3 linked regions of the Oryctolagus cuniculus genome follow. The protein of the gene in region 1 interacts with the protein of each later gene in a biochemical or structural test. Links are inferred from orthologs where the notes say so. Each region holds a gene or a part of one and is shown on either strand. Other genes may lie near its edges. The genes, in order: OIP5, HJURP and MIS18A.

Region 1 (4,361 bases):
AATTGGCCATAATGGCTAAGGCAGGGCTAAGCCAAAGCCAGGAGCCAGGAATTCCATCTGAGTCTCCCACATGGGTGACAGACCCAAGTACTTGGGCCATCATCTGCTCGTTCCTCAGCATATTAGGGAGCTGGATTGGAAGCTGAGCAGTAAGGACTCAAACCAGGGCTCCTGTATGGGATGCTGGCATTGCAATGCTGCACTTCAATGTTGGACCTTGGTGTTTGTTTGTTTGTTTGTTTGTTTTTTGACAGGCAGAGTGGACAGTGAGAGAGAGAGAGACAGAGAGAAAGGTCTTCCTTTGCTGTTGGTTCACCCTCCAATGGCCGGCGCGCTGCGGCCAGTGCACCGCGCTGATCCGAAGCCAGGAGCCAGGTGCTTCTCCTGGTCTCCCATGGGGTGCAGGGCCCAAGCACTTGGGCCATCCTCCACTGCACTCCCGGGCCATAGCAGAGAGCTGGCCTGGAAGAGGGGCAACCGGGACAGAATCCGGCGCCCCGATTGGGGCTAGAATCCGGTGTGCCGGCGCCGCAAGGTGGAGGATTAGCCTAGTGAGCCGCGGCACCAGCTGGACCTTGGTTTTTTTAAAGTGTTTCTTTGTAATTTTTGGATATGTCTCATATACTATAAATATGGTGTTTTGTCAATCGTTTAACAAAAACTAAAATCAACTATTTGATGCTTGATACAGTAATCTTTCAGAGGATAAAGGAAAAGAAAACAAATGGCTTGCTGGGGTATTGGATTCCTTTCTTTTGCTTTGAATCTAAATATTTTTCAGTTGATTTTTAAAATTCTGCAAAAGAAAAATCAGAGTTTTATCAATAAATTGTTCAGTAAGCCTTCAATCAACTTGTTTTTTAATGAACTGTGAATTCTTACAGTGGTAGCTATTTTAAACACGGTAGTCACTTTAAATATTTAAATCAATCAAATTAACTTTTTCTGCTTTACAAGGGTAAATTACCTTTCTCTACTGACATGATAGTTATGCATCCATGATTGCTTTTCTGGCCAGAATCCTTGAGGGTATCTGTTACCTAGGGTCTAATTAAGTCTGAGTAAACTTTTCTCTTGAATGTGTCATTTTTTTTTTTTTTTTTTTTGACAGGCAGAGTGGACAGTGAGAGAGAGAGAGGGGTCTTCCTTTGCCGTTGGTTCACCCTCCAATGGCCGCTGCGGTCAGTGCACTGTGGCCGGTGCACCGCGCTGATCCGATGGCAGGAGCCCGGTACTTCTCCTGATCTCCCATGGGGTGCAGGGCCCAAGCACCTGGGCCATCCTCCACTGCACTCCCTGGCCACAGCAGAGGGCTGGCCTGGAAGAGGGGCAACCGGGACAGAATCTTGCGCCCCGACCGGGACTAGAACCCGGTGTGCTGGCGCCGCAAGGCGGAGGATTAGCCTAGTGAGCCGCAGCGCCGGCCTTGAATGTGTCATTTTTGCAGACTCATCCCTAATTATAGTAATTTTCAGTTGTATTTTTTTCCTAAGATTTATTTATTTGAAAGGCAGAGTTATAAAGAGAGAGAGAGACAGAGAGCGCTCTTCTGTTTGCTGGTTCGCTCCCCAAATGGCTGCAATGGCCAGGGCTGGGCTAGGCCATTGGAAGTGTAGTAGCTAAGACTCAACTATTGGCATTGTAGGCAGCAGCTTTACCCATGATTGTACAACACTGGCCCCTTGTCGTCTTTTTTTTTTTTTTTTAAGATTTATTATTTGTTTATTTGAAAGGCAGAGTTTACAGAAAGAGAGGGAGGGAGATCTTCCATACACTGGTTCACTCTACAAACAGCCACAATGGCTGGAACTAGGCCAGACTGAAGCCAGGAGCTTCTTCGAGGTCTCCCACGAAGGGAGAGAGGTGCAGGGGCCTAAGCATATGGGCCATCTTCCCCTCCTTTCCTAGGTGCATCAGCAGGGCACTGGATTGGAAGTAGAGCAGTCGGGTCCTGAACTGGCACCCATATGGAATGTGTCACAGGAGCAGGTAGCAGCTTTTTCTGCTATACCACAACACGGCCCCTCACCTATGTCTTAGGTGATAGGAATGTTCCCTGAGATTAATTACCTGTTATGTATTCTCTGATTTTATTTCTTACCCATGCTCTATTTTCCCCCCTCAGCACTTACAACCTTTTGTTCTGTAATTCCTGTGGGATTCCCATTGGTTTCCATCTATATTCTACTCATGCTGCCCTGGCTGCCTTGAGAGGTCATTTCTGCCTTTCCAGTGACAAAATGGTGTGGTGAGTAAAATCTGGTACTGTTTATCAGAAAAGACTGGGGACCCAAGAAGATGCTGCAGCCACTCAGTACCTCTTAAAGATAACTGTAGGGGTCACTGCTTGTGCTGCAGGCATCTGGTATCCAGGTGCTGATACTGTGCTTCTGATCCAGCTTCCTGCTAATGAGCCTGGGAAGGCAGCGGATTGGTCAGTACATTCTTTTTTTTTTTTTTTTTTTTTTTTTTTTTTTTGACAGAGTGGACACTGAGACAGACAGAGAGAAAGGTCTTCTTTTGCCGTTGGTTCACCCTCCAATGGCCGCCGCGGCTGGTGCACCACGCTGATCTGAAGGCAGGAGCCAGGTACTTATCCTGGTCTCCCATGCGGGTGCAGGGCCCAAGCACTTGGGCCATCCTCCACTGCCTTCCCTGGCCACAGCAGAGAGCTGGCCTGGAAGAGGGGCAACCGGGACAGAATCCGGCGCCCCGACCGGGACTAGAACCCGGTGTGCCGGCGCCGCTAGGCAGAGGATTAGCCTGTTGAGCCGCGGCGCCGGCCAGTACATTGTTTTTAAGTAGAAATTAGGAAGTTTAAGTAGCATGAGTCAGGAAAGATAATCTATGTTTTATTAAAATGACTGGTTGTTAATAACAGAAAACCTACCAGGGGCTTTCAGTAAGTGGTGGGGCCAGTTGACTGCTCCGTGTGCCTCTTTGAGGCCCAGCTGAGGCCTGACAGTGCTCTGGGTCACCATCCCCATGGTTCTCATGGCCTTGTTGTCTTATACAGGATGGCTCCTTCGGTGATAAGCATTAATGCAACCCCATCAGAAAAGAAACAGATATGGGCAGTGGAGAACACAAGGTTCTCCTTTTGTTTTTTGTTTTTTTTTTTTTAAAGTTTTTTTTATTTATTTATTTGAAAGACTAAGTTACAGAGAGAGGTAGAGACAGAGAGAGAGGTCTTCCATCCACTGGTTCACTCCCTAGATGGCTGCAATAGCCAGAGCTGCACCAATCCGAAGCCAGGAGCTTCTTCCGGGTCTCCCAAGCGGGTGTAGGAGCCCAAGGACTTGGGCCATCTTCCACTGCTTTCTCAGACCAGAGCAGAGCGCTGGATCGGAAGAGGAGCAGCTGGGACTAGAACCAGCGCCCATATGGGATGCCGGCGCTTCAGGCCAGGGCTTTAACCAAACACTGTGCCACAGCGCCAGCCCCACAAGGTTCTCTTTTTATCAGCAAAAATGTCCTTATTCGAATGTCTGTAAACATGTCGCGTGCTCACCTTAACCTGGGGAGTCAAATATGTGACCGTAGTCTTGTCTCCATGGGCTTAGAGTAGTTACGTTTTATTTCTTAGGACTGGGCACACTGCTGCCTTAGATAAAATCTGGATTCTGTGAGCAAGATTCCGGTAGGCAAGAAACACTTGTCACAATGTGATCACTGACCGTCCTTCAAACTGTGCTTCAGTAAAAGTCTTCAGGGTCCACTGGGAGAGCTTACACTCATCATGATTCTCCCCCCGCCCCTTTTTTTTAAAGATTTATTTTACCTATATGAAAGACAAGAGTTAGAGAGGTAGAGCCAGAGACAGAGGGAGGTCTTCCATCTGCTGGTTCACTCCCCAAATGACCACAACAGCCAGAGCTGAGCTGATTCAAAGCCAGGAGCCAGGAGCTTCTGCCAGGTCTCCCATGTGGTACAGAGGCCCAAGGACTTGGGCCATCTTCTACTGTTTTCCCAGGCTGTAGCAGAGACCTGAATTGGAAGAGGAGCAGCCAGGACTCAAACCGGCACCCATATGGGATGCTGGTGCTGCAGGCGGTGGCTTTAACCCACTGCACCGCAGCGCCAGCCCGATTATTCCTTTGACATTCATGTTTGTCTTAATTTTGCCCTAGCAGAGTTTTACTTCTAGGAAGGAATAGATTGAGGTATAGCGTCTCTTATGATTTATTGACAATTTGTTTTTCTAAAAAAATACATCATGTGTCTTTATATTTTTATTTTTTGACAGGCAGAGTGGACAGTGAGAGAGAGACAGAGAGAGAAAGGTCTTCCTTTGCCGTTGGTTCACCCTCCATTGCCGCCCATGGGGTGCAGAACCCAAGGACTTGGGCCATCCTCCACTG
Region 2 (4,480 bases), on another chromosome or scaffold:
CCGGGCACCGCAGGCCAGAGCAGCCGGGCCAGGCCCTGGGGAAGTGAAAAGGCAGTAGGCGGGGACCCCAAGACACACCTGCCCTGACACACAACTCTCCTCCAGGTGTGTGCCGAGGACGGCCACCTGTCCCCGTCTGCAGACAACCAGGACGGGGGAGCACAGTGTCTACCTGGAGCTCTTAACACGCGAGACGCCCGCCGGGGCAGCCCCCGGCCCTGGCCCTCCTCCACAAGACGCGGACAGAGATGGGAAGCGGGAGCACGCAGCCCGGCCAGGGAGACTCGGCACCGCCCCAGCACCCCGGGCAAGGATGACGAGGGAAATGCGTGGGCCGGGCTCTCAGCAAGCAGCAGGCCGAGAATGGCTAGAGGGTGGGCAGGGCCCCTCCGCCAGCCGCGACTGAGCCAGGCCGCCTGTTAAAGCCGACCCTGCCGAGGGGCGAGGCTTTGGCCGGGTTCTTGGCCACCAGCAGGCTGACCGCTCACGGTGCGGTGGGCTGACCCGTGGGTCCCTCACATTCCTAGGGTGGGGTTCTAGCTCCCAGCATACCTGACCTTGCTGGCATCGTGACCTCGGAAGCAGTTAAGCCACTGACCTGGGCTCCAGCGTTATTTCAGGAGGCTGAGCTGAGCCGTCCGGTGTTGGCGAGGCGGCTGTCTTCCGGGAAGCCGGGTCTAATGAGACAGTGCGCTGGACGGTGCCCCGGCGACACTGGGGCCGCGGGGCCCACTTCTTCCCGCTGTTTCCTTGCTCCTGGACGAAGGGGCTCCGGGCTGTGAAATCCCCCCACGGGGAGGACGCGGAGCTCTGGCGCAGGGGCTGAGCTGCAGACGGCGCAGCTGCGGCCCCCTCTGCTCCCCACGGCAGGGCCTGCGCGGCTCCGTACCCAGACGACGTCCTCGTGATGCGGGAGGCGGGGCACGTGTCGCCGGAAACGTCCCCGTTCAAAGGAAACAGAAAGACGGGTCTCCAGAGACGTCTGGGAGTTTTTTAATTAAGCGACTTTATTTCCAAGACTTCGTCCCGGGGCCCGAGCGCCGTCTGACGGAGTGGGTGCTGCTGAAATCTGTCTAAGGGCAGAAAAGCCAACCAGGTTCTCCCGTCTTTGTGATGACGAAGAAAAAGCCACAAACCAGAGAGCAAGGGGGCAGCGCTGCACACCGCCCGGTGGAGACGCCGGCGCTGCCTTCTAGCGACAGTCACTCCGCCCGTCCATCTGGAAAGCCGTGCTCTCGCCTCTGCGGGCAGAAAAGACAGATCCGACTGCACCCCCATCTGACAGGGCCCCCAAAGCCAGGCCCCACACAGCCCCCTGCCTTCTGGTCATCCCAGGGCGTGCACAGAAGTATCTGTATTCACGGTAGAAGATGCCCCAAGGAATCAGACACAAACTCAACAGCGATCCCCACACAGGCAGTGCAGCTGTGGCCCGTCCCCGGCTCTCCAGTGCTGGCCAAAGAGAGAGACTACACAGTCCCCGGCTCTCTGACGCCGGCCACCCTGCACTGCCCGTGTCAACACAGAGGTCCTAAGAGTGAAGCTCACTGCCTCATTTACAAATGGGAGAACCCGCCTGCTCTGCCGACCTCATCCGATGGGAGGGTTCTCTCCACGCGGTGGTTAGCCTGGTGGTTAAGACCCCGTGTGAGAAGCCTGCATCCCACTGCAGAGGCCTGCGTTTGAGACCAGGCGCCACCTCCACTCCAGCTCCCTGCTACTGCACCTGGTGGGCAGCAGGTGGTGGCTCAAGTACGCGGGTCCCTGGAAGCCACATGGGAGACCCAGACAGCACGAGGATGATCTGGCCCCTTCCTCAGACTGGTCACAATGGTTTAACGCCCTCACATTGTGCCTTAAGATGGCGTCTGGTGCTGGCCACTGAGACCGGCGGTCAAGTTCCAGGGGGACCTAAGTGCCTCCCTGCAGGCGCCGGGGCGCCTGCTCACAACACGGACCTGTCTGTAAAGCTGTCCCCTCCACGTGGCCTTTAGGCCAAGCAGGTGAAAAGGCACGAAGTGATTTTGCACTGGGGTCAGGTGGGACAGGGGCCCGGGGGGCCCAGGGCGGGATGACAGTGAAGGAACGGGAGGCTGGGCAGGGCACTGGAGAACAGTGGAGACAGCAGGACAGCACACGGCAGTTCCGGGGGCCCGGCGTGGCTCTCTGGGTGGGACTGTCTTCGGTGAAATCCTGCCTTTTACGAGGACCAAGGTTATCCTCAGAGGGCAGCTGGCAGCAGCGTGCAGGCGTAGCACTGCGCTCAAGGCCGTTCCCTGAAGAAGGGGCTGGGGGCTGTCTGAGGCTTCCCCCTCCCAGAACCCCTGCAACGCTGGCCGCCAGTCACTCGGCTGGTGTGTTGGTCTTGTAAAGCCCAAGGGGCACAGGAGGGGGCTGAGGGGGCGGGGCAAATGGCCCGGGACCACCAGCGAGCCCAGCTCCAGGGGGAGCACTGGCGGAGACCAGGAGCCTGCTGCGCCGCACCCAGGGCTGGGCCGCCCTCCTGGGCTCCCTCTCGGAAGGGTTCTGGCCGACAGCAGACGACGCAGCCTGTTCAATCTGCTGCTGGCGCGCCCACACGTGATGTTATACACACGTGACATCACAGAACACGCGTTTGATGCGTCTTTCTCACACACACACACGTGTGCACGCTCACACACATTCCTAATGGAAACGCTGGTTTAGAGGAAGGAAAAGAGGGGAGAGAATGCTTAGAAACAAATACCCAAGAATGTTCTGGAATTTGTCCAAAGGCACACGCAGGTCACTACCGCAGGAAGCCGCCAGCCCCAGCTACACAAACTCACCTTCTCTTCCCCGCTGGGTGGTCCGGGCCTGGGGAGTCCCAGGAGTCGGCCTGGGGTGCGCGCAGCTGGGGGTCTGGCAGCCTGCGGCGCTTCGCAGGGGACCAATGGTCGCCCCTGGTGGCTCCAGCAGACGCCCCGTCCTCCACTGCGCTCGAGCCCAGTGCGCCTCTTCTGTGCCACTGGGCTGACAGCGACAACTTCTGGGACCGGGAGTCCGGGTTCGGTTTTCCCAGGACATCGTCTGTCCGGTGCCGGGCCTGCGCACTTGCCGTGTCTGGAGACGCTGCGCCCGGCCGCGGTGCCGTGCTGCAGTACTCCCGATGCAGCTTGTCAAACTCTTCTTTAATCTCATCGTAACGATTCCTCCCGCAGCCCAGAGGTTCTGTCCTGGGTCCTGGAACAGCTCCGCCGGGTGACGCCGCCTTCCTAAGCGGGCCAGGGCTGCTTCCCGGGACAAGGCTCCTCGCCTGCTGCGGGCGGCCTGGGCTCGGCACGGGGCTGGGCCCTGCAGGCAAGGGAGAGGGACCGTCCTCTGGCCGGCCTTGGCCTGAGTCCACGGATCTGCCCAGGCGCTCGAAGGCCTCCCTCAACGTCTTGCCCTTCGCTCTCACAGACAGACCCGGCCTGTGGGTTTCGAAGCTCCAGGAACCCCCTGGGCTCACCGGCCCGCCGCTGTACAGGCCCACGGCCCAGGAGTCCGCGAGGCCCGTGTGGCGAGGCTGTCTGCCGGGGCTCAGGGCGTACTCCCGATGCAGTCTCTCAAATCGGACCCGGATCTCCCTGTAGCGCTCCCCGCGGGGGCCCTGTGGCGTTGCCGGTCCAGAGATGAGCTTCACAGGGGAAAGCAGCCACTGCAGCATCCCGAGCCTGCGCTCCCGGCCCAGGGCGCGCACCGCTCCGACGTCCGAGCCTGCCGGAGCCGAGTTCCTCCGTGGCGTCAGCTGCAGCTCCTTCCAGCCCGGATCGGACGTCTGCACCTGGGATTTGTTGCCTTCAAGACAAGCCCTTTCCAATTTAAAACCCGCCTTACGGCGAGAAACATCGAGTAGGTTCTCGCAGTCTCTCAGTGGTCCCGCACCCGGCTCCGGCTCCGGCCCCGGCAGGGGTGGGTGCAAGGAGCTCCCCCGGGAACGCCTGCCCGCCTCGCAGTACGTCCTGTTCAGCCTGCTCCTCCACCTGTGCCGCCGCCTGCAGCTCCAGGCTTGAAGCACAGACGCTCTGGTGGAGATGACGCACGCCGGCTTTGCACTCAGCAGCCGGCTCATGGAGCGCAGCATCCCCGCGTACAGCTCGCTGATGGTCACGTCGCACAGCTCCTCAGCCGCCCAGGACCGGCCGCTCCCGTCCGTCCCCAGGGAGCAGAGGCTGTCGTCTTGGTGTTCCGTGCCCGTGTCTGTGGAGCCAGGATGCAGGGGGCACTGCTCCTGGGGCGGCGAGGCCGGCTTAGCCGGGCCCCCGGGGCTGCTTCCAGAGACCCCACCACGGCACCCTGGGAGAAACACACAGTCACACGTCCCTGTGCAGACATCATGGAACTCGAGGCCGGACCGCGACCTTCTCAAAGCAACGATGACAATAATGACAATGACAATGATAATAAGAAGCCCCAGGTTCCGAGGGAGAGGTTCCTTTCCAGGCATCAAAACTAGACTCTTGCTTTCCCACCCCGG
Region 3 (4,361 bases), on another chromosome or scaffold:
ACACTGACTTTCAAATAAATAAATAAATCTTTAAAAAAAAAAAGAAAAAAAGGCCCCTGCCATGCATGTGGGAGAGCAGAACAGAGTTCTAGCTCCTGGCATCAGCCTGGCCCAGAGCTGGTTGTTGCGGACATCTGGGGAGTGAACCAACCAATGGACGATCGTACCCATCCCCCATCCCCATCACTCTGCCTTTCAAGTAAAATTTTTTTTTAAGTCTGAGAAGAAAAATCTCCACTTATTAATTTGCTGTGTTAGGTCTAAAATTTTACTGTGGATTACTCACGTAGTGGCAAATTGAATGAGCCAAGTCAGCAAGGCTTTTTGGAAACGGTGATTCTGAGGCAGATTAAGGAAGACAGGTTGACAGGAAGGGAGTATATTCAGATGTTGCAAGCCAGGCTGAGGAGAGTCCAGGATGAAGGAACAAGTAAGTGGAGAGGCGGCGGGTCATGAAGTACGTGTGAGTGACCTGTGTGGGGCGTGCCTGGGGTTGCTGGGAGAGTGCTGGTGGTGAGTAGATCCTTTAACAGGCAGCTCTAACACACAGATCACAGGCACACATCCGAGACTTTTTAAAAACCCCTTAACGAGGGAGCTGGAAGCTGGTTCAGGGTCGGCAGATCGAGTTATGGCCCCTCAGCCTTTGGGGCTTGCTTTGCTACTCACAGGGATGGTTTGTGTCCCTGCCAGACTAAACTCACTTACGGTGCATTGGTGGGCTTTCTTCAGGCTGTCATTTAACTTTAGAGGCTTTTTCTAAACTGGGCTGTGTTAGCTTTCTGCCAATGCGGGGGCAGGCAGAGGCCCTGGGCTGGATGCCTCTCTGTGAACCCAGGTGATTGAGTTCTGCAGTGTCTGTAAGCTGTTTTCGTGCCGTGACGGCAGAGGCCAGTAGTAAGGATTAGTTATTCTCTGCGTCATTACACAGGAGTTGCCTCTCCCTGCCGTTGTTGGGCTCCTTGGACAATGGCATTAAAAGGACGCATAGAATCTTTTTGTCTTATTTCCCAATTTTCTTTATAATCAAAGAGTTTACATTCTTTATTTTTCTTAAGATTTATTTATTGAAAGATAGCATTACGGAAAGAGGGAGAGAGAGCTTCCATACGCTGGTTCACTCCCCAATGGCCACAGCAGCCACGGCTAATTCAGGCTGAAGCCAGGACCTGGAACTCCATCCGGGTCTCCCATGTGAGTAGCAGGAGCCCAAGCATTTGGACCATTTTCTGCCACTTTCACAAGCATGTTAGCAGGGAGCTGGATTGGAAGTGGAGCAGCTGGGACTTGAACCTGCCTCATATGGGATGCTGACATCTCAAGCGACAGCTTAACCTGCTGGGGCACAGCCCTGGCCGCAGAGTTTGCGCCGTAACACATGCACTTGATGGTCTCCTCCTCTTGTTGCCGTGTGCATGTTCCTGCCGTCAGATGTGGATGGCAGTGTGGCTGTCCTTGCATTTCTATTATAAATGTCTTACTCTCATCTTTTTCCTTCCTTATATGAATACATGTAACTAAACATGGTCAGAATGACAAACCCTGGAAACCTGAGTGTTGAAGCGTTTGTGGGTGCCAGCAGTGGGTGTTCTGTAGCAAGTTGCTGCTTTGCTTCCTAAAGCGGTGCTATGTCTTTACGCAGCGTCCTCGAGACCCTGTACTGCGTCGGCTGCTCCCTCAACCTCGGCTACATATACAGATGCACCCCCAAGAGCCTTGATTACAAGAGGGACTTGTTTTGCCTCAGTGTTGAAGCCATTGAAAGGTAAGTTTGATATTTAAGTGACCGCTGGGTAACTGACCTCTCAGAAAGTTAAGTTTGCAGAGAAATTGCTATGAAGACGTCAGAGCTAAACCACGCTTAAACGACATTTCCAGGTAGTACTTTCTGACATTAAAGCCAGTTAATTTCTCTCTCTGTCTCTCTGTTTTTCTCTTTGCTTTGCTCTAATTTTTTGATATTGGAAAAATCAGCACTCCTAAATTGTGGCTTTTTTTTGGAGTAAAAATATGTTCTTTTTTGTTTGTTTGTTTTTTGACAGAGTGGACAGTGAGAGAGAGACAGAGAGAAAGGTCTTCCTTTGCCGTTGGTTCACCCTCCAATGGCCGCCGCGGCCGGCGCACCGCGCTGATCCGATGGCAGGAGCCAGGTGCTTCTCCTGGTCTCCCATGGGGTGCAGGGCCCAAGTACTTGGGCCATCCTCCACTGCACTCCCTGGCCACAGCAGAGAGCTGGCCTGGAAGAGGAGCAACCGGGACAGAATCCGGCGCCCCGACCGGGACTAGAACCCGGTTTTGTGCCGGCGCTGCAAGGCGGAGGATTAGCCTAGTGAGCCGCGGCGCTGGCCTGTGTTCATTTGTTTTTAAAAATGGAATGAACTTGAGAAGGATTCTTTTTAAGTATTTTCTGGGGCTATGTCTCAGTGGTTAAGTTGCTGCTTGGGATGTCCCCAACCCATAGGACAGGGCCTGCTTTAATTCTGATGCAGCTTCTTGCTGATGTAAACCCGGGAGGCAGTAGATGCTGGCTCAGGTACTTGGGTGGGTCCCTATTACCCATGTGGGAGACACAGACTGACTTCCAAGCTCCTGGCTTCGGCCTGGGCCAGCCCTGTGTGTTGCAGGCATTTGGGGAGTGAACAGTGGATGGAAGGTTCCTGTCTTTCTCTGCCTTTCAAATAAAATGAGAGTAATTTTTCTAAAAAGCGATATTGTGTTACAGAAGAAAATACGTGGGAGGTTTTACTGCAGGAGATCATGGTTGTCAAGGCTGTTTTTCCTGAACAGTTGATTTTAGGAGACAGGCTACTTCTTGGGCAGAATTTTTTTTAAAAAAATAAGTTTGTGTGTGTGTGTATTTTTTAGATTTATTTATTTGAAAGGCAAAGCCACAGAGAGAAGCAAAGCTACAGAGGGAGAGAGTGAGGAGAGAGAGATATTCCATCTGCTGGTTCTCTGCCCGAATGGCTGCAAGGGCCAGGGCAGGACAAGGCCAAAGCCAGGAGCCAGGAGCCCCATCTGGGTCTCCCACATGGATGCAGGAGCCTAAGGACTTGGCCATCTTCTGCTGCTTTTCCAGGTGCATTAGAGAGAGCTGGATCGCAAGTGGAACGTTAGGGACTAGCACCAGCACCCAAGTGGGATGCTGGATTTGTAGGTGGTAGCTTAACCGGTTATGCCACAGCACTGGCCCCTTGGGGTGGAATTGTAATGCCAGGGCTGCCCTCTGTGCCATTTATTTACAGTTTTATCAGTTGCTCGGTGCCATGTCATTTTCCCACCGCATCTTTGGTTTTCTAAGTAGGATGTCGGTTGCCTTCTGCAGTTTGCCTACCACGCTATTTTCCTCTGCCTTGCCAGGCATATTGGCAGAAAGCTGGAGCAGAGACAGAGCTGCGGGGACTCCCGCCAGCACTCCGCTGTGGGATGCCGGGAGCTGGCGCCACAGCCCTGGCCCCTCGAGTTTTCTTTGAGAGATGCTGGCATCTCCGTCCTTACTGTTTAGATGTAGCTGGTTGCCAGCCCAGAGCTGGTTTCCCTCCATTGCCAGCTGATTCTTCTGCTACTTCCTACTTTCCTAAACCATCGCATCTTGTAACAATGAGAGGCAAACACAGTGTAAGTTGGAGAATAACTGTTACAGTTGCTGACATTTGGTTAATCAAGTATTGACCACCACAATTTATTACTTAAAGTCTCATTTAGGAGCAGGTGTTTATCCTACTGGTTAAGGCAGCTGTGTTCCACATTGAAGTCCCTGGGTTTATTTTATTTTATTATTATATTTTACTTTAAGATTTATTTTATTTATTTGAAAGTCAGAGAGAGAGAGAGAGAGAGGTAGAGCCAGAGCCAGAGAGAGAGAGAGGTCTTCCATCTACTGGTTTCCTCCCCAAATGACCACAGTGGAGCTGAGCTGATCAGGATCCAGGAGCCTCCTCAGGGTCTCCCATGTGGGTGCAGGGACTTGGGCCATCTTCTACTGCATTCCCAGGCCATAGCAAAGAGCTGGATTGGAAGTAGAGCAGCCAGGACTCGAACTGGTGCCCATATGGGATGCCGGCACTGCTGGCCAGGGCTTTCACCGCTGTGCCACAGCGCCGGCCCCAAAGTCCCTGGGTTTAATTCTGAGCTCCTGATTCCAGCTTCTGGCTAACGCACACCCTGGGAGGCAGCACATAGTTGGCCCAAGTAGTTGGGTCCATGCCACCCACGTGAGAGAACTGGATCGAGTTTCCAGCTCTGGCCATTGCGGGCACTGGGGAGTGAGACAACAGACGGGAGGTCGTGCTCTTGCTCTCTCCCCTGCCCCTCTTAAGTAAAAAATTGGAAAAAAGGTCAAATTGGAAGTGGCACATGTT

Evidence for each region.
Region 2: the proteins of OIP5 (region 1) and HJURP form a complex in vitro, tested with the Homo sapiens proteins (2 studies listed by BioGRID). The link is inferred for Oryctolagus cuniculus from reciprocal best matches to the Homo sapiens genes OIP5 and HJURP.
Region 3: the proteins of OIP5 (region 1) and MIS18A form a complex in vitro, tested with the Homo sapiens proteins (3 studies listed by BioGRID). The link is inferred for Oryctolagus cuniculus from reciprocal best matches to the Homo sapiens genes OIP5 and MIS18A.

The regions. Positions count from the first base shown.
Region 1 is NC_091443.1:64,435,276-64,439,636, reverse strand, and holds part of OIP5 (protein Mis18-beta), read left to right. Parts: intron 1-2,125; coding exon 2,126-2,248; intron 2,249-4,361. UniProt on the Homo sapiens protein: Required for recruitment of CENPA to centromeres and normal chromosome segregation during mitosis.
Region 2 is NC_091434.1:5,620,285-5,624,764, reverse strand, and holds the end of HJURP (Holliday junction recognition protein), read right to left. Parts: exon of another isoform or gene 4,300-4,480; coding exon 2,811-4,299; exon of another isoform or gene 1,242-2,810; coding exon 1,193-1,241; 3' UTR 1,105-1,192; downstream 1-1,104. UniProt on the Homo sapiens protein: Centromeric protein that plays a central role in the incorporation and maintenance of histone H3-like variant CENPA at centromeres.
Region 3 is NC_091435.1:12,608,502-12,612,862, forward strand, and holds part of MIS18A (protein Mis18-alpha), read left to right. Parts: intron 1-1,642; coding exon 1,643-1,765; intron 1,766-4,361. UniProt on the Homo sapiens protein: Required for recruitment of CENPA to centromeres and normal chromosome segregation during mitosis.